4 linked regions of the Neodiprion lecontei genome follow. The protein of the gene in region 4 purifies or fractionates together with the protein of the main gene of each other region. This does not show direct contact. Links are inferred from orthologs where the notes say so. Each region holds a gene or a part of one and is shown on either strand. Other genes may lie near its edges. The genes, in order: DNA topoisomerase 3-alpha, protein phosphatase 1 regulatory subunit 12A, DNA polymerase alpha catalytic subunit and replication protein A 70 kDa DNA-binding subunit.

Evidence for each region.
Region 1: the proteins of replication protein A 70 kDa DNA-binding subunit (region 4) and DNA topoisomerase 3-alpha purify together in Homo sapiens (affinity purification with mass spectrometry; 4 studies listed by BioGRID and IntAct, with this or other methods). This does not show direct contact. The link is inferred for Neodiprion lecontei from reciprocal best matches to the Homo sapiens genes RPA1 and TOP3A.
Region 2: the proteins of replication protein A 70 kDa DNA-binding subunit (region 4) and protein phosphatase 1 regulatory subunit 12A fractionate together in Homo sapiens (co-fractionation; 3 studies listed by BioGRID, with this or other methods). This does not show direct contact. The link is inferred for Neodiprion lecontei from reciprocal best matches to the Homo sapiens genes RPA1 and PPP1R12A.
Region 3: the proteins of replication protein A 70 kDa DNA-binding subunit (region 4) and DNA polymerase alpha catalytic subunit purify together in Homo sapiens (affinity purification with mass spectrometry; 3 studies listed by BioGRID and IntAct, with this or other methods). This does not show direct contact. The link is inferred for Neodiprion lecontei from reciprocal best matches to the Homo sapiens genes RPA1 and POLA1.

What each region holds. Positions count from the first base shown.
Region 1 is NC_060263.1:2,644,355-2,651,371, forward strand, and holds DNA topoisomerase 3-alpha, read left to right. Parts: upstream 1-1,933; 5' UTR 1,934-2,058; coding exon 2,059-2,277; intron 2,278-2,412; coding exon 2,413-2,756; intron 2,757-2,836; coding exon 2,837-2,955; intron 2,956-3,036; coding exon 3,037-3,383; intron 3,384-3,455; coding exon 3,456-3,744; intron 3,745-3,918; coding exon 3,919-4,417; intron 4,418-4,494; coding exon 4,495-4,840; intron 4,841-4,943; coding exon 4,944-5,403; intron 5,404-5,482; coding exon 5,483-5,726; intron 5,727-5,813; coding exon 5,814-6,052; intron 6,053-6,085; exon of another isoform or gene 6,086-6,121; coding exon 6,122-6,162; 3' UTR 6,163-6,250; coding exon of another isoform or gene 6,251-6,337; 3' UTR 6,338-6,493; downstream 6,494-7,017. Other genes in the region: phosphatidylinositol N-acetylglucosaminyltransferase subunit Q, read left to right, coding at 5-197, 321-435, 508-704; uncharacterized protein LOC107225596, read right to left, coding at 965-1,367, 1,608-1,675. UniProt on the Homo sapiens protein: Releases the supercoiling and torsional tension of DNA introduced during the DNA replication and transcription by transiently cleaving and rejoining one strand of the DNA duplex.
Region 2 is NC_060261.1:7,037,586-7,042,219, forward strand, and holds the start of protein phosphatase 1 regulatory subunit 12A, read right to left. Parts: upstream 3,009-4,634; 5' UTR 2,855-3,008; coding exon 2,606-2,854; intron 1-2,605. UniProt on the Homo sapiens protein: Key regulator of protein phosphatase 1C (PPP1C). Mediates binding to myosin. As part of the PPP1C complex, involved in dephosphorylation of PLK1. Capable of inhibiting HIF1AN-dependent suppression of HIF1A activity.
Region 3 is NC_060264.1:15,990,606-15,995,477, reverse strand, and holds the start of DNA polymerase alpha catalytic subunit, read right to left. Parts: upstream 3,007-4,872; 5' UTR 2,718-3,006; coding exon 2,702-2,717; intron 1-2,701. UniProt on the Homo sapiens protein: Catalytic subunit of the DNA polymerase alpha complex (also known as the alpha DNA polymerase-primase complex) which plays an essential role in the initiation of DNA synthesis.
Region 4 is NC_060264.1:2,098,273-2,105,246, reverse strand, and holds replication protein A 70 kDa DNA-binding subunit, read right to left. Parts: upstream 5,024-6,974; 5' UTR 4,732-5,023; coding exon 4,702-4,731; intron 4,630-4,701; coding exon 4,582-4,629; intron 4,256-4,581; coding exon 4,059-4,255; intron 3,930-4,058; coding exon 3,763-3,929; intron 3,531-3,762; coding exon 3,428-3,530; intron 3,344-3,427; coding exon 3,181-3,343; intron 3,033-3,180; coding exon 2,828-3,032; intron 2,737-2,827; coding exon 2,624-2,736; intron 2,541-2,623; coding exon 2,374-2,540; intron 2,288-2,373; coding exon 2,050-2,287; intron 1,908-2,049; coding exon 1,824-1,907; intron 1,744-1,823; coding exon 1,549-1,743; intron 1,420-1,548; coding exon 1,306-1,419; 3' UTR 535-1,305; downstream 1-534. Other genes in the region: ATP-dependent translocase ABCB1-like, read right to left, coding at 31-88, 167-297; ubiquitin carboxyl-terminal hydrolase 5, read left to right, coding at 5,732-5,827, 5,907-6,032, 6,281-6,457, 6,536-6,642, 6,738-6,974. UniProt on the Homo sapiens protein: As part of the heterotrimeric replication protein A complex (RPA/RP-A), binds and stabilizes single-stranded DNA intermediates that form during DNA replication or upon DNA stress.

The sequences.
Region 1 (7,017 bases), on a different chromosome or scaffold from region 4:
ACAGACTGTTCAATATGCAGCTGAGAGGCCTGATGGCACTGTTCCATTTGTTCCTTGGAAAGAAGAAGAATCCATTAAGGGAGAGAGTGGATTCATGTCAGTATCAGGCTGATCAATTGTTTGTTGGAACATTGCTGTTCACTATCCTCCTGTTTCTAATGCCAACAACATGGGTTTACTACTCCGTTTTCACTATTGTGAGTAATGAAACAAAAACCAATTAAATTCGAAATCAATTGAAATCACAGAAAGAATTATTAAACAAAATCTTACTCGAGTGTATCACAAGTAAATCGGGTAGATCTATTTTCTTTCCATAGCTTCGACTCGTCCTAATAGGCCTAGGTGGATTTCTCACCAGACTTAAGTTTTACTTACAAGTTCTGCCAGTCTATGCTTTTGTAAAATGGCTTATTCGTTCCCCAGTTATGAGCAGTAAGTAGAGCCGATAATAGATTATTTTGATTTGATGCATAGACGGTATTTCATGTGCAATTTCCAATGCTGTTCCAGGTACAATAAACATGAAGATATATCCCAGAAGTGGAGAAGGTCCTACCACCCTAATCGTGTCAACAGTTGTATCTCCATGGGGTGAAACTTGGAAACGTTGCATTCTAGAGACGATAAACCCTCACCTGCCGGTTGAGTGGGGTAAAATTGTGAGAAATGTGTTTTGGGGTCAGCTTTTGTACCCATTGTAAATAACCGCTCCATGTATTAAGAAACTATTAATAAATGATTGATGGTTTTTGCTATTTCTATCTCATTTCATTATTTATTATTGTTTACTGTATATTATGTAGTATACTGTAGATTATTTACAGGTTATGGGAATATTGCCAAGCAATTTCCATGCCACAAAAGAAGCACTCGTTTATTTATACTAACAGCTAGAGCGGAACTCAATTTTTCGGACATACAATCGAAGTGTAGGATTAAATGAAACTAAATACGGCAGACACTATTTGTCCATTTTTTGTTTTTCGATTTCCCTCAATCTCGCCTCTATTTCTTTTGTATCAAGATTACGTTCCCGATTAAACTTTAGGACAGCTCTTAATTGAACTTCTTCTAGACCCTCTATGTGATCATAAAGCGTTAAATCAAAGTGTCTATCGATGTCGCTTTCTTCCCTTAGAATGCCGAAATATATAAGAAACGCAGCTGTGCTCGCAATCACAACGTACATCTGGTACCAAGGTTCATCCGATATTTTTCCCGTTCTTGATTTCATAGCTATCCAAGTATCAGCCTTACTACCGGTGAATCGCAATGGCTCTTCATATTGTTCCTCATTTTTGTAATCCTTTGATTTATTTGAAACGTTGGCCAAGGTTCTCCAACCTATCGGTGTCGATAGTTTTCTGCAAGTAAAGTTAAATCCAGTTATTCTAGTATCACGAACTGATATTAATGGTTGCAGGACAATATTGCGTATTATGGTGCAATAAACGGGTAGACAAGAAGCGACCTAACCTCAAATAGAAATGGGTTTTCTTTTTATTGTATAGCTGATTAATCTAAAGAGGTTGAAAGACGAAAAAGCGAATCACAACTACAATAAAATATAGCTTACTTTAAGCAGTGTGAAAAATCTACGTTACCTTGGCGTTAGTAAATTACATTCGGAGAAAATTGTTCCAGCAATTCTGCGCAGCATAGCAGACGCCATGATTCTGGAGTTCTACAGAGTTCTACATAACCGAAAACAAATGTCAACACACACTTTCGATTTATTTTATAATTTATTTTAAGTTAATATTAATTTGAAAAAGTATGCTTTAGGTTTACGTAAATTCACTAAGCTTCGGAGTTTTTTTCACTCATGTTTTCTACTTTTCAGTATACCGCAACTGCTTAATGCATTTTGTATTACAAACAAAGATCAACCGGCTAGTTTTTGGTGAGTAGAATGTGAACAAAACACTTCTCTAATCACCGAGTATTTTTGGTTAATTCCAAACGATTGATTGCGGCAATAATCTAATCTTATCAAGTCAAAAGTATTTCGTTAACGTCTATTTCTTCTTTATTTCTTCGCTTTTACTTGTCCGCATGAAATTTACATCGAAAATTACGAAGATAAAGGTTAAGAAATATTTGTTTATAGATTTAAGAACTACATGGATTCAACTGGCCAAATTAAGTAGCAGTGATACTGTCAAAGAGCTGTACAATAGCGGTAAAAACGTCATGAAGGTGTTGAATGTTGCTGAAAAAAATGACGCAGCTAAAGGTATAGCTGGCTATCTTTCACGTGGGTCTTCGCATCGGGTAACTATTGGTTTCTATTTTGTTTTTTCATCTGTAAAATTCACAACACCACTTGCTGCCAAACTCTGAAATATCGTAACTGGTCAGATAAACAATTAACACGCCAATAGTACTAGTAAAGTCAATTATTTTCAGCGAGAAGGACTATCAGTATATAACAAGATCTACGAATTTGATACCCAGCTATGGGGCCAGCAGTGCAAAATGATAATGACGTCGGTATCTGGTCACCTGTTGAATCATGAATTTGTCGGAGGATATCGTAATTGGCAGGGATGTAATCCACTATCTCTATTTGAAGCACCTGTGGTTAAGCAGTGCGAGGAGAATTTTATGAAAATAAAAAAAACCTTAGAGAGGGAGGCTAAGGGTTGCCAGGCACTGATTATATGGACAGATTGCGATCGAGAGGGTGAAAACATAGGCTTTGAAGTTATACAAGTTTGCCAAGCTGTGAAGCCCACCATTAAGATATACCGGTAGTTATTGGCAAGGTCAAAACTGTCAATAAATGTTACTACCAGTTCGAAGTATATCTTTACTTGGCTATTTTTTTCAGAGCAAAATTTTCGGAAATAACTGCTCCATCGGTGACTCGAGCACTTCATAATTTAGGAATACCGAACAAAGCCATAAGCGATGCTGTCGACGTTAGGAGCGAATTGGACTTGAGAATAGGTAATTTAATTGTTTAATTAATCAAACGATGATATGTGGCTAGAGTTGTATTGGTTAAATATGTCAACGTTATCCCAACAGGAGCTGCATTTACACGATTTCAAACAATGAGACTTCAAAAGGTTTTTCCACAAACGCTAGCTGAGATGTTAATCAGCTATGGCAGCTGCCAGTTTCCAACCCTGGGTTTTGTAGTAGAGAGGTTTCTCGCAATTGAAAATTTCAAGTCAGAGCCATTTTGGAAAATCAAAGTCACGGACGATCGTGATGGAATATTGGTGGAATTTAGATGGGACAGAAATCGTTTGTTTGAACGCCTTCCGTGCCAGATATTTCTGGACATGTGTTTAGAATCTCCTACTGCAACTGTAGAAAAAGTTACGTGCAAACCGAAAAGCAAATGGAGACCGCTGCCATTGGACACCGTCGTTAGTACAACTGATTTATGTAAATTATTATTATATGACAACCGATACACTTCAATTGTATTAATTTTATAGGAATTAGCCAAATTGGGTTCACGCAAGTTGAAACTAAACGCAAAGGAGACAATGAAAATAGCAGAGAAACTGTACACTCAAGGTATTATCAGCTACCCTCGTACAGAAACTAACATTTTTCCCAAGGAACTCAATCTTGTGCCACTAGTCGAACATCAATCTGCAAGTCCACAGTGGGGACCGTTTGCACAACAAATACTGCAAAACGGGCCTTTCCCACGTCAAGGGAAAAAAAATGATGGAGCTCACCCTCCGATTCATCCTACGAAGTACATTGCTACTTTAGGAGGTATGTTACAAAACTTTATCAACTTTACTATTAGTCTAGACCGTAATCATGGTTTGAAAATTTCAAAAATTTTGGAAAACGATCAATTTTCCCAAAAATTTGTAAAAATTTCCGCTTGGAGTAATTTTCTGACTGTATAACAATTTTTTAAATCAAGAATCCACTTTATTACAGGCAATGAGGCTCGTGTATACGAGTTTATAGTTCGTCATTTTTTGGCCTGTATATCAAAGGATGCAGAAGGTCAAGAGACCATTGTTCACATTGATATTGCGCAGGAAAAATTTATAGCAAGTGGTCTTCATATAATTGCCAAAAATTACTTAGAAGTGTACCCGTACGAAACGTGGAATGCAAAAGAAATCCATGCATACGAAGAGGGACAAACTTTCAGACCCACTGGCATTGAAATGGTTGATGGGGAAACTTCACCTCCAAACTTGCTAACAGAAGCTGACCTAATTGCTTTAATGGATAAGCACGGAATTGGCACTGATGCAACTCACGCTGAACATATCGAGAAAATAAAATCAAGGCAATACGTGGGCCTGAAGGATCAAAAGTATTTCATTCCCGGAAAGCTCGGGATTGGATTGGTCATGGGCTACGACAGTATGGGCTTTCATATGTCCAAACCACACCTCAGAGCAGGACTCGAAAACGATTTAAAGCTGTGGGTGAAATATCAACTAGTTATGAAATAAAATATCATTATAATGAAATAAAAGAGAAATAAATAATTTCTTTCAGAATATGCGACGGTGTGAAACAGCCAGCGGATGTTTTGCAGGATCAAATATCCAGGTATAAAACAGTATTCACAGCAACGTTACGGCAGGCTGGATTAATAGACGAAGCGCTTGCACACTATCTTGACGAGCAACCAGCGCAGGTGCAGCATGCTGAAATAGCAAACCCGGATCCAGATATAATTGTATACAAGTGTCCAAAGTGCGGGAGTAATATGTTATTAAAGGATCGAAGGAACTCTCCTGGCAAATATATTGGCTGCATGGCGTTTCCGACATGTAATAATTCGATATGGTTTCCAACCACTGTTGAGAATATAGAAGTTTTGAATAACAAGTGTAACAGGGTAAGTTAAACAATTAACAAATAATCATTAAAAAACTTTGGGCCTCGGAATTTCTAGTGTGTAGTATCAAGATGGAGATTGATTAGATTGTTTCTATTTCTAGTGTCCAGGTAATATGCCATTACTTAAGTTTACCTTGCGCCAAGGTACCCTGCCGCATCTTGGAACCTCTTACACCTCTTGTATAGGAGGATGTGATACAGTGCTCAATGAGACTTTTGATATTCGAACACATAGCGTACAAAATGTGCCACAAGCTGGTAATGGTGGAGCACCGCAAACAAACTCAAATCAAAATCCTAGAGCAAATCAAACACGGCAAAACGCACAAAGGCAACCTAATGGCCAGATAAATAATTCTAGAGCAAATGACACAAGCCGTACTGATTCTGGGGTGTCTACTTGGAGCTCTGCACCTTCGACGACTTCTGTACGACATAATAAGTTTTCTAATCGGTCTAGTAATCAGAATCAACAGAATATGGAGACTGATGACACGATTCTCTGTAACTGTCATGAAAGAGCAATAGAGCTTACTGTACGTAAAGAGGGGACAAATAAAGGTAAGTTGGAAATACAGTATTACCTTAGTAACACATTTTTTGCTCTCTGTTTATTTTTTACTGAAAATAATTTCCGCAGGAAGACAATTCTACAAATGTGCCAAACCGCAAGAAAACAGCTGTGACTTCTTTCTCTGGGCTGCAGAAAATGCTCTACCCAATGATAATGCAAACAGAAATCATTCGCAACCATCTCGGAATACCAATAGCAGCTATAGTAATCAAACACAGCAGAGCCAAACTAATATGAGGTTCGATAGAGAAGCTGGCGGATCATCGTCATCTCAAGGCATTACCTGCACGTGTGGGCAACCGGCAAGAAAGTGAGTCCACCAATGGAATGACTTACTTCAAATTTTAATGCACATCCGAATTCTACCAGCACCAATTGCTCTCTGTAATATCCACAGACTTACCGTACACAAGGAAGGTCCTAACAAAGGAAGAGAATTTTATGGATGCCCTCAAGGAATAGGCACTACATGTAAATTTTTTAAATGGGCTGATGAAAATGACGATGATGGTTCATGCGATAATGGACAGAGAACACACACAGGGGGCTTTCGAGGAGGTAGAAATACACAAAATGCAAATCTTCCTAGAGCAAGAAATCCAAGTAAAAGGAAGTGCGGTCTTTGCGGACAAGAAGGTATGTTTTTGATGTATACAATTACCACACTTATTTACCAAATGGATAATTTAATTATCGATATTTCAGGTCATACCAGACGTACCTGTTCACAAAATGATGCGGGTTAAGACAATTTATTGAATCAATTTAATAATAAGAAAAATCTTCAAGACTTTGATAGTTTAATTGTAAAAATGTGATATTATGTGTAATTACCTAAGTACTTTTCGAGTGTGACGGTTTATCTTTACGAGCGTCGAGTTCTTTGCCATATAAATTAGACTCTGCTGTCGTTTGCGTCAGCTAGAAAAAAATTAACGATCAAATCTGTAACATTAGTTTCATTTTTCATAAAGAACGGTGTAATACGCTATCTTTTTTCTACTGCGTTAAAACAATTGTACGCGTATTGTTGGTGTCCCAGAGATACAACGAGCCAATAAACAGAGATAACAGTAATGAGAGTGTAATTTACTAATAGCACTAACGACATCATTTACGACTTTTTATTACAGTAGAGGGATAATTACCATGTCAAGCATTAGTTCGAACTTTAGCTTCAGAATATTATTCTCCTCTTCAAGCTTCTTCACTTCCTTTCGGAGTCGTTCATTCTCTTTGTAAGTTCCACCAACTTTGCCAGATTCTATGAAAATGAAGAAATGGAAAATGGAAAAGTATTCTGAGATTGGGCTCGACTGAATTTACCAGGAATCCACTGTCCACTGTCGAATACAGTCTCTTGGTCACCGAGTCGCAAACGTATGGGTCCAACATCAGGCCCTAATTCTTTTTCGATCCTTTTAGGGCTAAGATCCTTGTTTGCCAACGAAACGAATGCTCTTCTAGTAGGCGTTTTTTTGGGTGAAAACTTGTTTGAAAACAACGGCATGTTTCGCACACCTCGATGAAATGTCAAGAATATTGTTGGTTATGTTTGTATAAACAACCAAGAGTCCATCTTGTATCACTGATAATACAAT
Region 2 (4,634 bases), on a different chromosome or scaffold from region 4:
GAACTTTGAAAAATGTGTACGCGTACATTACTGAGTTTTCTGCATTGATGAAACCAAATACCGAGCCCTAATTTCTAACTCCTCTGAGACGATATTTAGCTCCATTAACTGACACAATAGAAAGTGAATTGATATGCCCATTAGAACCAGGAAAATAAATTTTCAAAATAATTAACCTTGAGGAAGCAGAAATTTAGCAAGGTTGGGACAAGTGTATTCTCATATCATTGTTTCGCTGTGCAATATCTTGGATTTTACAGCTCCGTGTACGTTTTTCTTTCATAAGCGCAGTCACCTTTTATTCGATTCTGGATGCTCAAATAATTGTAAAATTTGTCTGAGTACCACTGGAGGGAATTGCGACGTAGATATATGTTTGCAGAACAAACCTCTTTTCAATATCATTCGGTTTAACATCTCACAATCAATTCGATTTACCAGGTACTTCCCACAAGGGTATTGGTTGAGACCTGGTACAATTACAAGGAGTTTGCACTTTCGGTAATGTATCTTCTCCAATGGATAGTGTATTGTGTTAGAGAAACAAGCATGTTTTTACTTTGAATTACAATATATCATTAATATATTATGTTATTTGGCATGTTCTTCAACTGGCCATTACAAAGTTTGACGGAATAACTAATTCGCTGTTCTTAGTCTGTACGATATCGTGCATGTATATATCATGGACATAAGTTGCTCCAACTCAAATTTATCTATATGCATGAATATCAATCAATATTTCTATCACGCCAGCAAATGTTTCGTTACCATTATTACGAGATACGGTAGTTGGCATATATTATTTTCAGGTCGACTCGCAAATGACTCGATGAATAGGTCGACTAATACATTATCCAAACTATAAAGATAAATGATGAATGGCCAATTTTGCATACGTCAGCGAGTTCATTCCTGGCTCAAGTTCATGAGTCTTTTATCTCTCAGTTTTTACGTTTAGTGTAATATTAGTAAGGTAAAAAGAAAATTTCACTTCAACTGTTCTGGATAACGAAAAACATGAAAATCAAATTAGGAAGAATTTATCCTTGGCCATGCGTTCGTTGATATTTATTTACATTTCCGTTCTTTCAGGGATAAAATTTCTTTCGTATAAGAGAAAATTCATAAAACCAAATGTCGAAGAGAAACATTGAACATATTCTGCGGTAGAAATTTAATTACTGGATACCATCAGATATTGCATTAAGCCACGTATACAGTATAAACTACTCTGTTCCTTACTATTCGAGTGATTTGACATGCCCATAGCCAACTGGCACAAGCCGATGTAATGCATTCAGCTTACCGTTCGGTGGGTAAAATGGGATAACACTGAAGAAAATTTAATTTCAAATTCTAATTATTAACGAAAGAAACTACGTTGTTGCATACTAGCACCCAGCATAGAAGTAAATTACAGTAACTGATGAAACACCGGATGCATTTGAGTTTTTTTCTGAAAATCTAAAACGGAAGAAATTCAATTATAGCAGATTACTAGTGTCCCATATACTGGAAGTCTGATGAACGCTTACCAATGAATCCAGATATTTTCCCTGACTTCCAAAGAGAAAATTACTTGATATTAAGAATCAGTAACTTCTGATGATTTCCATTTAGAATTTCGAAGAATGAATTTCGTTCATTGCCACATTACGTCTCAGCTTACCAGCTGTGTTGAGAATTTCGGTTATCTTACTTATAGGAACTACGTCTTAAGCGATAAGATGATAATTATCTTTTCTAAAAACACTGTATCGTTGTTGTTTTGAATTTTAATGTTTTTCAACTTGTTGTCAGCGATATTGTCAAAAAGTCAATGTGACGTGTGCTGTTTTCAAAGTAAACAAAGAATTGGGACAAGAACAGGTGCCTAAAACTATCGTCGACAACTTAGATAAGGTTACTCGGTGCTTTTGCAGCCCTGGAAAAGGGTCATCGTCTCAGAAGCTTGGTACGCCATGTTTAGCAATACGAGAGTTGACAGTCAGCTACGAGAAGGTGTAACACCGATTTCAAGCGATAAGCGATGGAACTGGCCAGGTGACAGAACGCACAATCGATACACCTCACAGGTGTGCAGCTGGCAGAAACGAAAAATTGAATAGGAATGAAGAAGCGCATGTAAAGAGACGAGGAGGAGACGGAGGAGCGGCCGACTTGACGCACGTCAGGAGCAAACCGAGAGACACACATGTGAACAGCAAGTGAGGGATTGCGGGTGGGTGGGGGGAGGGGGATTCAGTGTGCGAACCGTGCCAGTGGCGACCACTCGAAGGAATTCCTAAATTTAACAGGCTCAGTATCGGAGCGGACGAGGTAATCGTTGAGTTATACGAACGATGGTCGAGGGAGGAATGAAATCTGGCTCCATTGAGGGAAATCCACGTAAGCGGAACGCCGTTGTTTGCGATTAAGGAGACAGCTGGAGTAAACCGCGGCCATCTTAGACACACATACGTCTTTCTCGGGACGATATACCAACCCGTCAGTATCCCGACTGACCGGGTTTAAATAGACGATTCTCCTGTGCCGCAGGAACCGAAATCGCGAAACGGCGACGGGAGGCGAAAAGAAGGGAGGCGAGCAGGGTTCGGATTACCTGGTGGAGGGCTGTCAATCCATCTACGTTCCCGGTGTTGATGTCGGCCCCCTTCTGCAACAAACGAATCACCTCCTCCTTGTCGCCCGCTGCACATGCTGCTAAATACACACAGTCCGCGGAGAATTTAATCTTACGATCAATCTGCCTTGGGTGGGGTGGTTCGCGATTTGTTTCCGACGTTTCCCAACGCTTTAACTGTTCGGCCCTCTTGAAAAGAGCCGAACTTGATCGAGTCTCTAGAGACATTATTTGATCCACACTCTCGACTCACACTCACTTCACTTGCTCGCTACCAGCCCCCATACGATTTCTGTCCACTGTAGATGGAGGGAGCGGTCGCCCGACGCCGAGGCACCTCTAAACTCGTGCTAGGCTATTCTTGGAACTGCTCGGAATCGCTCGGCCGACTCGGAATGACTCGGCCGCACAACCCACGCGCTACCTCAAATTCGTGGTCAAAACACAAACTATCCACGGCAGACTTGTCTAGCTTAACATTCGTTACTCTTTTCTGTCAGTTGAGTTGCCTACCGTACGGCGGTTTTACACACATATTGGGCGTGTTCGGAAATTGACTGAAAGTACTGTCAGTACTGAAAATCTACAGTATAGGTCACTTGGACTATAATATTTTCAGTACTGACAGTACTGTCAGTCAATTTTCGAACACACTCCTCGAGTCCCCAAGTGCTTTCGGTAAAGCTGGGATTTCATGGGCAGCAAAAAGCAGCAGCAGTTTAGTAACTTACTAGATATTACTAACATTTGTCTAGTAATTGACGCAGCAGCAGCGCTGTTCATAAAGGCCGTGTTCGAAAATTGACTGACAGTACCGAAAATTCCCTAAGACAGAGTCAGAGCTATCCACGAACTTGGAAGCGCAAAAGAGATGAAAGATTGCTGACAATACTGTCAGTCAATTTTCGAACACGGCTTGTGAAGCAAAAACCGGAAGTTTTTGGGGAGTCATCGTGCCCCAGTCTCCCCGACAACTATGTCATCTGGTAAAACACTGACAAAGAGTAAGCGAGCGCACGAGCACAAAAACTAGTTACACTAGGCGTCCGACCCCGAACAAGCTTTAGCGAGCGAGTGTTTTAAAACTAGTTTTATATTATCACGGAAGTAGCTGGTAATACAGTATTTGTGGTGACGACCTCTGTCAAATCAAGAATGGCACGGAAAAAAATGTTATGCTCTATACTTTTGCCCCATTGTTGCGATATCGCTTTGGTCCCGATCTTACGAATAACGAGTGAGGGGAGTACCAAGTGTCCATACCCTGCATTACCGTAACTACGGGGTTTATTTAAGGCGCCAGATAGAAAAGAATAAGAAATTGACGTCGGTATGTCAGTTGACCAATGACCATGCCAGCATTACGAAATACGTTCTTTGTGAACCACTGGTCTAAACCGTGGGTGTAAACATAACTGATGGAATACAGTGCGTGCGAGAGAGATAGCGAGTTGAATTACGCACCTCTGGTGTAGGGTTAGGGAACTCAACCCAGCACACCACCAGTAACCAACTTCAGCTCACCTAAAGAGCTCAGTTTCAGCTGGACGTTTTGGTAGACGTCTCACTGGACGTCTCTGCTCTCTTCAGTCGAGTAGAAACCTAATGGTAGACGGGTGGTGGATCGGGCGGCACAGTGTCATTGAAATTATGTGATTAGTGATCCGGAGTGAGTTGTAGTGTGTTCGTAAATAGAAACCTGTTAAGTACTTTACAACACCGGATACTATCGTTTCCCTTTAATGGAATGTGAGTTTACATTTACGATTACATTGTCCATTACTATAATTTTTTTTAAACTCTCCTTTTATTTTTCTCTGCTTTTGACCGACGTTTGTTCCCCCACGACGTTTGCATTCTTACACGTATCGCGTGTAGTTCGTTGGATACATCCGAGCGCATAAGGCTTGCTCAATTCAGATTCCGAGCTAACTAGCAGACTACTATCAGCCTGCTTTCTTCTCAAACCACGAGTTTGATTGGTCCGAAGCCTTTCACATAGCGCTCT
Region 3 (4,872 bases), about 14 Mb from region 4:
TGTCTTTCAAATTTTGTATGAATTACGTATATTTTGTTATTTTCAGAGCTTGTTTTCACGGATATCATAAGACAGATGCACAGGTAAGCCAGCCACCTCCAGTTGTCAGCCACTTACAAATTTAGTCCAAAATAATATCGATACTATGCTTAATTTAAACAAAATTTGTATGCTTTTGTGATTTGTAATCTTTGCTAAGATAGATGTGACTTATATTTTGTACAACAATCTGTACTGCAAAAAATAATACATTAAGCATTAAGGGTGGGAGAAGAACATTGCGTAGCAGGTTGTGTCATACGCAGTAGTTCGGATGGAAAAAAAAAAACTTGTTTGATTGCACATCGAAAGCCTTGAACTTGAAGAAAGCCGCCTGATCATTCCATTCATCATTATTTAAATTCATATTGTATAGTTATATTGGAGGAACAAATTATTTCGGTCCGTTTTTTTCGCTCAAAAAATGCATTTATTTCAAAAGATAATGAATTAACAAATTAATCAAAATATTGTCCATCACTGCTTACAACTTTTCCCCACCTCTCAGGCAATTTCGGAATCCCGTGTAAGAAAAACTTCTCGTCTTTTGCGGCAATCCCAATTTTGAAGCCAATTTTCGATTTCTTCGAAACAAGTGAAGCGGTGACCTGCCAAATCGTGTTGCATCCGTCGAAACAGTCCGTAGTCAGAAGGAGTAATGTCCGGAGAATGTGGCGCGTGCGGTAAGAAATCCCATTTGTTCGTTTCTAAATATTTTTTGACAACTTTTGCGACATGAGGCCGAGCGTTGTCATGCAAAAAACTTTATCATGTCTTTCCTTATATTCCGGTCGTTTTTCTCGTAATGCACGGTTCAAACGAAGTAATTATAGTCTCGTTTTGCGTTTGACTCGGATCTTCATTGAGTAATGCCTGTAATTCATCGTCTACGAATTTCAGCTGTCCCGAGCGAGGTCTATCTTCAACGCTGAAATCACCACTTTTGAAGCGCCAAAACCATTCTCTACGTGACTTGTCAGTTGGAGCATTGTCACCGTAAACTTTCACAAGCATACGATGAGCTTTAGCTGAACTTTTTTTCCAATTAAAACAAAAAATTAAAACTTCCCACAAATGGTGTTCAGTTATCAAAAAAAGTGACATTTTCAACAGCGTAACAAAAAACGTTTTATATGAAACTCACAACAATACAAACTGGATGTTATCGGCAGGTGTCCAATTTGTCTAAAACCAGGGCAATCAGCTGTTACTACTTAAAAATTGAATGTTTTTAGAGCCACGTTTATAGATCCATCTTTTGAGAACGGACCGAATTAATTTGTGCCCCCAATACATAAATTGTGTGTTGAAAATTACGGTATGCAAAGATGACCAACTATCGGCGCATCTACCCTACTGAAAAAAACGAAAATAATTGTTAACGTTCTTCAGCAATGCAAATACGTTACATGTGTCCGGCATTCCTTTAAGTAAAATTTAAAGTATCACAGAAACCTTGAAAATAATTAATCCAAGGTGGTGTTTCGAGTTGCAACTTGGAGTAACACAGCTTGAGTATTTGTTTGTGAAATAATTGGTTCAACAATTTGTAAACCAGCGAAAGTGGATTACATTTTAATGAATTGGAGTTTCTTTTGTCGTTCTATGGCCAATAGTTTTTTTAAAATCGTATTACCCGATACTTGGTCTGTGATGACAAATCAATTGTTCTGTACAATCATTTTTCATCATGGGATTAAATTCCTAACTTAACGAAGCATTTAAAAGAAAAACTATTATTTCATAACCTGAGCATTTCCCAGGAATTCATAAGCCGCATTGAAGCAAAACTTTTTCATATTTTGGAAACTTAATTCCTTTAGAAGTTATTTTGAAATAGTAAAATATTAACTTTTGTCTCAATGTTTCATCACGATAACATGACTAACTTCGACCTCGTGCCCTTATGCTATTATAATAATTTTGAAATTTGTATTTAGTAGAGCAGTTGTATAATGCAGGTTATGAAAAAAAAATCTCGATATTAGTAGGACTAATAATTGGTAGATACAAGATACGGAATACAGTCGATTCAAACAGCATGGTAAAAACTCATTTCGTTAGAAATTTATTAGTGGTCAAAATATTGTATTTTTAGAAAAAGTTTGTAGGATCAGTAATGCATCCCCTTTACTATGTACATAAGGTTACGTATTTCCACAGTTATCAAACTGCAGATCTTCACAAAAGCTGACCATAACTTGCATATGAGACCGAAATTTGTAACATTTGGATAACCAAATAATGTCGAAAGAAAAATTACCATTCTATAGCTTCGGTATATCTTTGAAGGACTTGAATGGGCAAAACATGAGTGAATTGATGCTCCATTACAGTTTACCGGATTTCAGACCATCCTCAAATTGCGAAATAGCAATTATCAAAATCGCATGGTCACATTGACGTTACGAGTTTCAATCTCACATAATCCGATGGTATCGCAGTGGTCTCTAAGCTAGTATGGGGCGAGTTATAACAGGTGACACCGGTGACATTAATCGTGACAAAGAATGCAATGGATATGTGACGATATCGAGATTGACAATAATAAGGTTTTAGGATATCTATAGATCTTCGTCAAGCCAATAATTTTAAAATGGATTATTTGTCGAGGGAATACGACTTGACATTGAAAAATGCACGTTAAATTAGAAAGACTTACATGCAGGTTCATCCATGCTGATGTAAGAGCGAAACAAACGAACAATCCAAACGTCATAAAGCTAACACTAACACTCCACAACGGAACACTCTGCGTTCTATGGAGCGAATAAGAAGATCATAAAATCATAATCTACACCACAGATCAGGAGGGAAGCAGAAAATATGATTTATAAAACACGTGGCTGCTAAGAGCCGAGCAACTGCACCGACGTGTAAACAAAATTTCACAACCTACTACAGTAAAATTAGCGGGAAAATTGCCGCAAGGTGCCAACCACTGAAAAAGATGGTAAGAATACTACCAACACTCATTACACTGTTAAGATGGAAAAAGAAAGATCTGCCTCCTGACGGGTCAAGTTAAAACTAATAAGAGAAGCAGGTAGAAAACAGGTCAATATTATACCTATACTTAGGCCGTCATTGACACCCAAATAAATTGATTTCTTTTTAATTCTTTGTTGGTCGTTTGTTGATGTTTGATGATGTATTCCCATGTCTGATAGTCAATGGTTTAGTCGTTATTACTAAAACAAATTTAGCTAGAGAATTCAAGTCGTTGACGGAGGACCTTATAAAGGTTTCTCTCTGGTTAGAACATGTATGGGTGCCTTCCATTTACTGACTCAAATCGACTTGTGTCGCTATTTCTGGTGTAACCGGCCAATCTGGGCAAAGGAATACACCAGAAATAGCGACACAAGTCGACTTGAGTCAGTAAATGGAAAGCACCCAACGTATATGGGTGCTATTTCATGAGCAGTAAAAGGCAGCAGCAGCAGCAGTTTTCCCCTATCACTTCCGGCGCAAGTTTCTGCTGCTCGCAGTTTAGTTTTTCGAGCGACAAGCCACAAGATCACAAGAACAGTCGACCTATTTCATGAGCAGCGCTGCTGCTGCGTAAAATTACCAGACTGATGCTAGTGAAAACTACTAAGTTACTAAACCACTGCTGCTTTTTACTGCTCATGAAGGCCGTGTTCGTAAATTGACTGCCAGTACTAAAAATTCCCTAGGACAGAGACAGAGCTGTTCATGAACTCGGCAGCGCAAAATAGGTGAAAGATGGCTGACAGTACTGTCAGTCAATTTTCGAACACGGCCGAAATAGCACCCTATGGCCGTGTTCGTAAATTGACTGACAGTACTGAAAATTCCCTAGGACAGAATCAGAGCTATTCACGAACTTGGAAGGGCAAAAGAGATAAAAGATTGCCGACAGTACTGTCAGTCAATTTTCGAACACGGCCTATATGTACAGGATCAAGGTCCCTAGATTAGACAGGTCAAGACACGCATGGTCAAAATAATTAGTGAGAATGCGCCAAAAGTTTCGTATGACAATAGATGGTTTCCATTTAGAGCACAATATGACACGGTGTAAACATTTCTGGTCTATTTCTTTGCCCGGGTTGGCCGCTTACAATAGAAATTTGTACACTGTGTCACACTGTGCTCTAAATGGAAAGCACCCGGTGTGGTTCTGATTCCTGACCTGTCACAATGATTAACCTCAAAATATATACGTGCTTCTATTTATTTCGTGAACGTCAGGACACGAAGGGCGCAACTCGTTAATGCTGAACCTCAAAAAATTGAGCAAGATTGGTCAAAACTGGTTAATGCGGTAATGTAAATTTGATATTTTTTGGGCGAACGCGCATAGAACATTTTTGCCCACGTTATAGTGAGAAAAACTGGAACACACGTGTCTTGACCTGTCTAATCTAGGGACCTTGTACAGGATAAGCCAGCAGTGCTGCCAGTGCTGCCGCGTAAGAGAATCTTGCAACAGCCAATCATTGCTCAGCTTACCAGAGAAATTCAGAAAGCATCATAACAATACGATTCTTCGGTTCTTCCCAACAATGCATCGAGAGGATGCGTAAAACATCCTAAGCATCATAAGCATCATCTAGCGAGCCCAATGAAAAATCAAATTTTAATTAACTGTGTGAAAAATGTCAGCAATTCTGAAGGAAAAATCCGGATGTATAACCGAAGAGCAAAAAACTGCTAAATCGGTAGCGTCTGAAAGTGAGAATAAACATATTGCTTGAATTAATTCAAGACCTAGTGCAATACCTCTCGCAATATTTATATCTACTTCATTATTTTGTTAGTTACCCGTGTTCATTTCCGGGTATATTAGAGAAAATAATTCTTTTA
Region 4 (6,974 bases):
CAACCAAGTCATAGTAAATAAAATACTTACCAACTTGTAATATGCAATTGGTCGGTATTTTGTGAGTTTCGTTAACTCTGTTGTTTGGCTGAAAATTAATGTGTAAAAACGTAAGTACAATGTATAAAGTAATACAAGCTTTTCATTATTATTCAAAATAACTGACCTTTTCTCAGTTCCATCAATTGTGTGTTCGTTAATTCGAAACCCTGTTATTTTAATGGGATCTGTGTTAGGAAATTCAGTTGCACGTTTTTCATCTGGCAGAGTTAGTTTCAATTTTTTAGAACTCTTCATGATTGTTTTGTCAATGTCGACTGACACTATACTAAGTTATATTATACGAGATATTCCAAGCAACACGTGTCATATCAGTACACTATCAAGATATAGAAAAATAACTTTGTCAATTTATAGTCAGAAACATAAGCTTATCAGAATGTAGTAAGTGACTTGCTGAATTAAGATTATCAGATATGATCAGTTTTGTAGCAAAATATCTGTCTGACAAAAATGTTTAATTCACTTCTTTCATTTTCCTTTAACTTCAATTTTTTATTTATAAAGCATTCTAAAATAATTTTTCTCAAGTTTTCTTATTTAGTAATATGCCCATAAATTTAAAAAAAACGACCTTGATACGAAATATTACCAGTTCCAGAACTTGCTTTCTCATAAATGTATTAGGGGTGTTAGAGTTATTATCATTGATCGTGAGCCTACGAAAATTTCCAGGCTAATCAGACCTCAGCATAACTGCCAACATTCTTCATAGCTGCCGATTTTCAGTTCACGTATCTCGAGTTAAAATACGACCAAATTTACAGCAAAATTCGAAGTTTATTTTAATAAGTATACGAGTAAATATATGTACCGTATTGTTCAGAGTACAAGCCAACCCCCAATTCTAAGACAGTATTTGAGGGAGTTTTTCTTAGTTAACTACATATAAGACGAGGACGATCTTGGCGGATGCTAACAAAAAAAAAAAAAAAACCTCGGGGTATATTCGGAACAATACCGTATTTATAAATGGTACAATATATTCGAGCACATAGAGCAAAGATCGTGGAATATTGGTGATCAATTAAAAATATTCATTAGAGTAGCAATATTCATGGGACACTTATATAAATTAACTTAATATATTGATAACATTAAACCGAATCAGCATTGCATAAATTGTACAAACCGCTGTTACAAGCTCGGTATAGTGAAAATAACAATAATAACAACAATAATAATAATAATAATACCTTACAATAACGTTTCAACATTTAAGTAATCGAAACTTGGGCTAAAAATTTATGCCTTGCCCATGTTGGAAAGTTCTTTAATTTGCGCGATCAGATGATTGTTGTAGCTTTTAATATCCAGCGGGGTCACATTCACTACGGTGGACTTCAATCTGTTCTCATCCTGTAAAAACAAATGGCATTTAGGCTTAGGTGTTGAAAAACAGTTGTTCCAATTTAGAACTGGATAAAAATTATATTTGATATCCTGAAAAAGTAACCTACAAATTTGAATGGAAGCTGAATGACTTACGCTATAGTTTTCCATTTTTACTCTCAATTTGAGAAGGAAAGTTTTGAAAGCAGATTCACCGAACTTTTCAAGAAACGCTTCATCATCATTATCCTTCAATTCACCAATTTCTTGTGCCGTCATTCCCAAAATCTTTTCAGCCTCCTCATTGAACGCGGTTACCCATTGGTTGTCTGTCCAGTCTGCGAGATTGATCTGAGACAAGAATATTCATGATTGAGTCACAAGACTGCACTCTCAGAAATTGACACACTAATATTGTATTTGATACTCACACTGGCCAGCAGTCGATATTTGAAGTTTGGATAGTTCCTGTTACACTTTTCACAACGATACATTTCATTGGACTGATCGATAAGCTGTTGTATGGAAAAAAAAAATTATTGTTGGGCTACATTTGGGTACATTATTCTTTCACTGAGGCATTTGTTTCAAAGTGTGACATTTTTAAGGGCAATTTTTCCAGATGTGCGCGCTTCATCAGTATCACGAGTTACTTACTTTTTTTTTACAGTCATCGGTCGGGCACGCTTTGTAAAGAGAGTTTTCAGTCCTTATCATATTGATAGTTGCCTTGACGATGAAGTAGTCGGGAGTTTCTCTGCAGCCCAGCTGCATGTCTTTAGCCTCCTTGAACGTCAACCACGGACCATTCATTCCCCCACTGCCACCGCCCAGCCCCTTAGAAATGGTATGCACATTCTCTGTGCATCCAGTTGTGTTGTACCAACCACGGAGCCTAATAAGTAACAATGATATTCAGTCAAACTGTCTCATTGTGTGCAAATCTGTTGCTATGAGAATCGGAAGATTGACAGTTTGTACCTATGAGCTTCGGGAATGTCTGGGTCAATCTGGAGCACTGACGAATTAAGGGTAGACAGAGATTTTCCACCATTAAATTCGGCAAGACGTGCACCTTTCACGGCAACAACAGGATTAGAAGATCCATCAAACTCGTCCGCCTGGGTTCCCCATAATGTGAGAGTAACCTGAATTGAATAAGATGTGACAATTAGTCAGTTTTACTAGGTATGTTGAACTTGTGGTGATATGCTAGAAATTCTTCTGGTACCATTGTATTGCTTTCGTCAACAAGATTGACATCCCTCTTCTTAAGCTCTTTTCTTGTAGTCCTCGCAACTACAGTTGTGATATCACTACAAGATTTGCAAACGCCAAGCACATCTAGAAAAAAGAATATACCAGTACGAGTAAAAAAATATTTGATATCTCATTTCTTAACACAGGCCCGTGAATGGGAATAACAAAAACATACCAATTATTGCATTCGGCTCCTTTCCATCAATTTCACTGATTGGTGCAAAATCGTACTTCACTGTTGGGATCTCGTCAGAATCGTCGTGACAAGGAACAACCTCTGTTTCGGATGTCATTGTCATCTCGTATTCATTTTTCAAATTACTGAATTGCTTGTTCGCTGGCTTCAGTTGACAACGTGAAATATAGTAAATTTTTCCAAACTAGTAAGAAAGAAAAACTTGATAAAAAAAATTTGAATAATTTTAACAATATATTACGTTACTATAACAACTGATATTAGTCACAAGTTAATGCGTAGTCACAAGTAGTCACAAATGATTGCATGAAAATGAGTTAATCTGAACATACCTCGATCATGTTGTAAAATTTGTCACATTGATCTCTGAATGCAGTGCAGCGAATCTCGCCAGTCTCATCGACTAAATCCATAGAAAAGAGGGAACCTTCGCCACGTGCATTGCTCCACGTTTTTATAGCTGACTTATTGGCTACTCTAGCTCTGATTACCCACCTGTTAAGTAAATACACAACTTTCAATTTGTAGTTGCATATTTTTTACACCACAAAAACTAAAACTGCTAAATGACATGATTACCTGTTTTGATAAGGACTCAGGGCTTCTATCGGTGTAGTTGAGATACCAGCACCAGAGGATACTGAATCATTAAGATAAGATTGCTGCTGTCTTCCAGGACGAACTATTAAAAGTGAGATTTATATATAATTTTGCCACAAATTCAGTTAAAAAAAAAAAAAAAAAAAAATAGTGTTTCGCCATAGCATAACATAAGAATAAAAAGGTTAATTAAAAAGAAATAAGTAAATATGAATCTTTTAGTGTTTAACAGTATCAAAATAGTATTTAATTAAGATTGGATAATACCGACGATTCTGATTCATGCAATAACACAAGTGTTTTTCACGGTTTACCAGAATTTGAGGAATTATTAGTTTTTGGTACAGGCGCTGCTGATCGGGCAGCAGGAGTAGAATCTCCGTTCTGTACATTGCCGTCTTGCTGGGTAGGATTTCCTATTTTGCAGCCCACTTCAGTGCCCGGAATCTTAACGTCAATGTTGAGTATGACCATCACTCTCCTGATTGATCAAATAGTAAACCGAAATTCAGAAAAAACATCAGCAATCCATGAAAAAATATGTCCGACGATTCTAATAAAAAAAAATAGTGATATGGAACATGTAACACTTGTTTTCCTGTGAACTTACTTCTGTGTTCCTGAATTGTTGATCATACTAATTGCGTATCGATTAACTTGGCACACGGAAAACTCTGTCAGTTGGTCGTTGGTAATCAGCGAGTTTAGCTGTGTAGCCAACATCGCGTATGAGTTAATTCTTTTACCATCTGAAACTAGGAGGCGATAGCGCTCCTGAGTGCTCGCCGATTGCAGCTTTTTGTGTCCCTGAAAGAAAAGTATTATGACGAAACAAGAATTTCCAGAAATAGTAGATAGAACAGGGGAAGTTTGAAAACAAAATATTAAACATCTGAGACAACGAAGGCGCTTTACTTCAAGGATGTATCATAATAGTTAAAAGAATAATTCAATCTCAATTGTATTAGAATGAATTGAAGTATGTGGATTAAGCGACTGTTCGATCGTTATTAGATTGGAGTATTGGTGGATTGATGCTTCAGCGTGACTGTTGGCAGATGGTTAACAATGAAATTCTGTTTTATGGGTATCCAGTGTATGAATCACGTATAATATTGAATGGATCTGCTCACCAATATCTGTAAAATCGGCTTTTCGACCTCGACACCGTTCATGATTTGCTGTGGGAAAAAATTCATTGACATGAACGATTATTACACGAATATGTTAATAAGATACGTCAGGAAACTTACGTCCAAGGCTCCTTCACTAAGTTCGTACATTTTTCCGGAGTAACGAGAAGCGGTCACCTGTTCAATTCTCAAAAAATATCTCTGAAAGTTTGAAGAACCGTGATGCGGAGTAGGAGATTCACTTGCTCAGTGTCATTAAAACGTAAAGGAAGTGAGGTTGGTGAAGCGTGCCTCGAAGACACCGGACAAGTTGTTTCGCGCCAAACAATGAAATAACAAGGATTCCTTGTTCCTCATTTCACATTTCATAGACCTTCCTCGACAGAATAAGGAATCTTATTGGCCTCCTTCTTTCAAGGCAGATCTCGAGCTTCCTTGAGGAAACCTTCGGCACTGCGATTGGCTGTTTCGTTTCATGTCGCCAACGCTTGCGCTTGCGCTTGGCGTCTGTGCACTTATGACCCGTATGACGCGATCACAGCCAGTTTACAGGTTAACTTCTTTGAGGTTATACACTCTCATCAGCAGTTTTACCACTATAAGCAATCACATATCCCTAAATATGTCTTCCTTCTGGAAGGGAGAGCCAAGTTGTGACTATGAAACGAGGACGCCTCGAGATTCAAGGAAGCCTTCATCAAGGCGTTCTTTATCCTTGAGATAAGGAGGGACTATGAATACGGGTGTTAGCTCCCAGTGCTGTCAACAATCTCTTATTTCTTTTGCACTGCCGAATTCGGCGGTAGCTGTATCTCTATCATACGAAGTTTTTAGCCCTGCCAGCTAATTTTGGGAATGCATAGCCAACGGTTTCGCATTCGCTATTACATACCGGGACAATCTCTTGAAACTATACATAGGTATAACTATGTGTTGCAGTAAAACGCCGCTTGACTGTTGATTTCCGGTTCCACATCGGTTTCCCTTTGATTAACGCAAATCATTGACATCAATTGTGGCCGGCTAGATATTTGTTGGTTATATTCATCATATTTACAAAAAGAATGAAACTACGGACTGTCTAGTGCGTAAAGAATCCTCCTGATATTAATTTCCCACGTATATTAAATTAGATCTACTGTTTGACACGATGGGCGAGCTAGTACAGTACTTAAATAAAATAAAAATACCCCAGCGGGGAGACAAAATATATAAAGATGAATGTGTTTTCTCGTTTGACACACCAGTGAGTTTCATATTTTATTCTGTCGCACTGTACCTCTCATTTTTCCGTATCAAGTCTAATCGTATAAATTCTATACAAGGAATCGCCGAATGGACTCTACCTCAATCTTACAACATATTTGGGACTAGGTCAGGATCATGTCGATGCTTACTATCAAAGGACCAATAACCCTGTATTTCTTCGCTTGAAGAGATCAAAAAAAGAAGTAAGTATGCTTCCTTTACTTGTTTTCAATTATAGCTTACCATACGTCAGTTACATTCTGCAAAATTTATTCCAAAATGTTACGGCTAAGTTCTCAAGGCATAACGTATAAGTCTTTCTCTAAATATGTTTACGAGAGTCGTTGAATGCAGTGGAAACAGATGGTGAAACAACAATTAAAAATATACTTCTGGATACTGACATTTATGGCACTTATTTTTCCAACTATTTATCTATAACGTATTACAGATACCTGCCGAGCAGCAAGGGGATGGTCCTGAGAAAAAAATAACCCGTTTAGCGATCGGGGTTGTGGGAGGATTCACACCGGATACTAAAAAATACGAGTATGACGAATCCTACGAGATTGTTATATTGCCCAATTATGTAACAATACCGTATCCTAAGGATGATTTGCCTGAACAAGTATGTGCTATATTAAGTAGTGCGCAAATAAGCAGTATCCAGTGAAGAATTTAAATCAATCGTTAAATTATTCGCCAGGTTAAAACTGCCATAAAATCTCTATTGGAAGCAGAGTCTGCCTCAAAGTTAGCAGAAACAGAAGCCTTAGCTGGAACTTGGGACGGAGAAGCGAGAATAGTTTCAAAGTAATAGACAAAACTGACGAAATTGATAATGTTGGCTTTACATGTACTGAATTATTATTACCAAGGCTAAACCAGGTTATTTTTTCATTATCCAGGCATGCCGCAAATTTAAAACAGTTGGGCAATGGAAAGAAGATTCCTCCAAGCGGCTGGAAATGTGAGAACTGTGATTTGACCACGAACCTATGGCTCAATTTAACCGATGGGTCAATACTCTGCGGGCGGAAGTTTTATGACGGAACTGGTGGGAATGATCATGCCATTGAACACTATCGCACCACGGGCCACCCTTTGGCTGTTAAGCTCGGAACAATTACCAAAGAAGGAAAAGG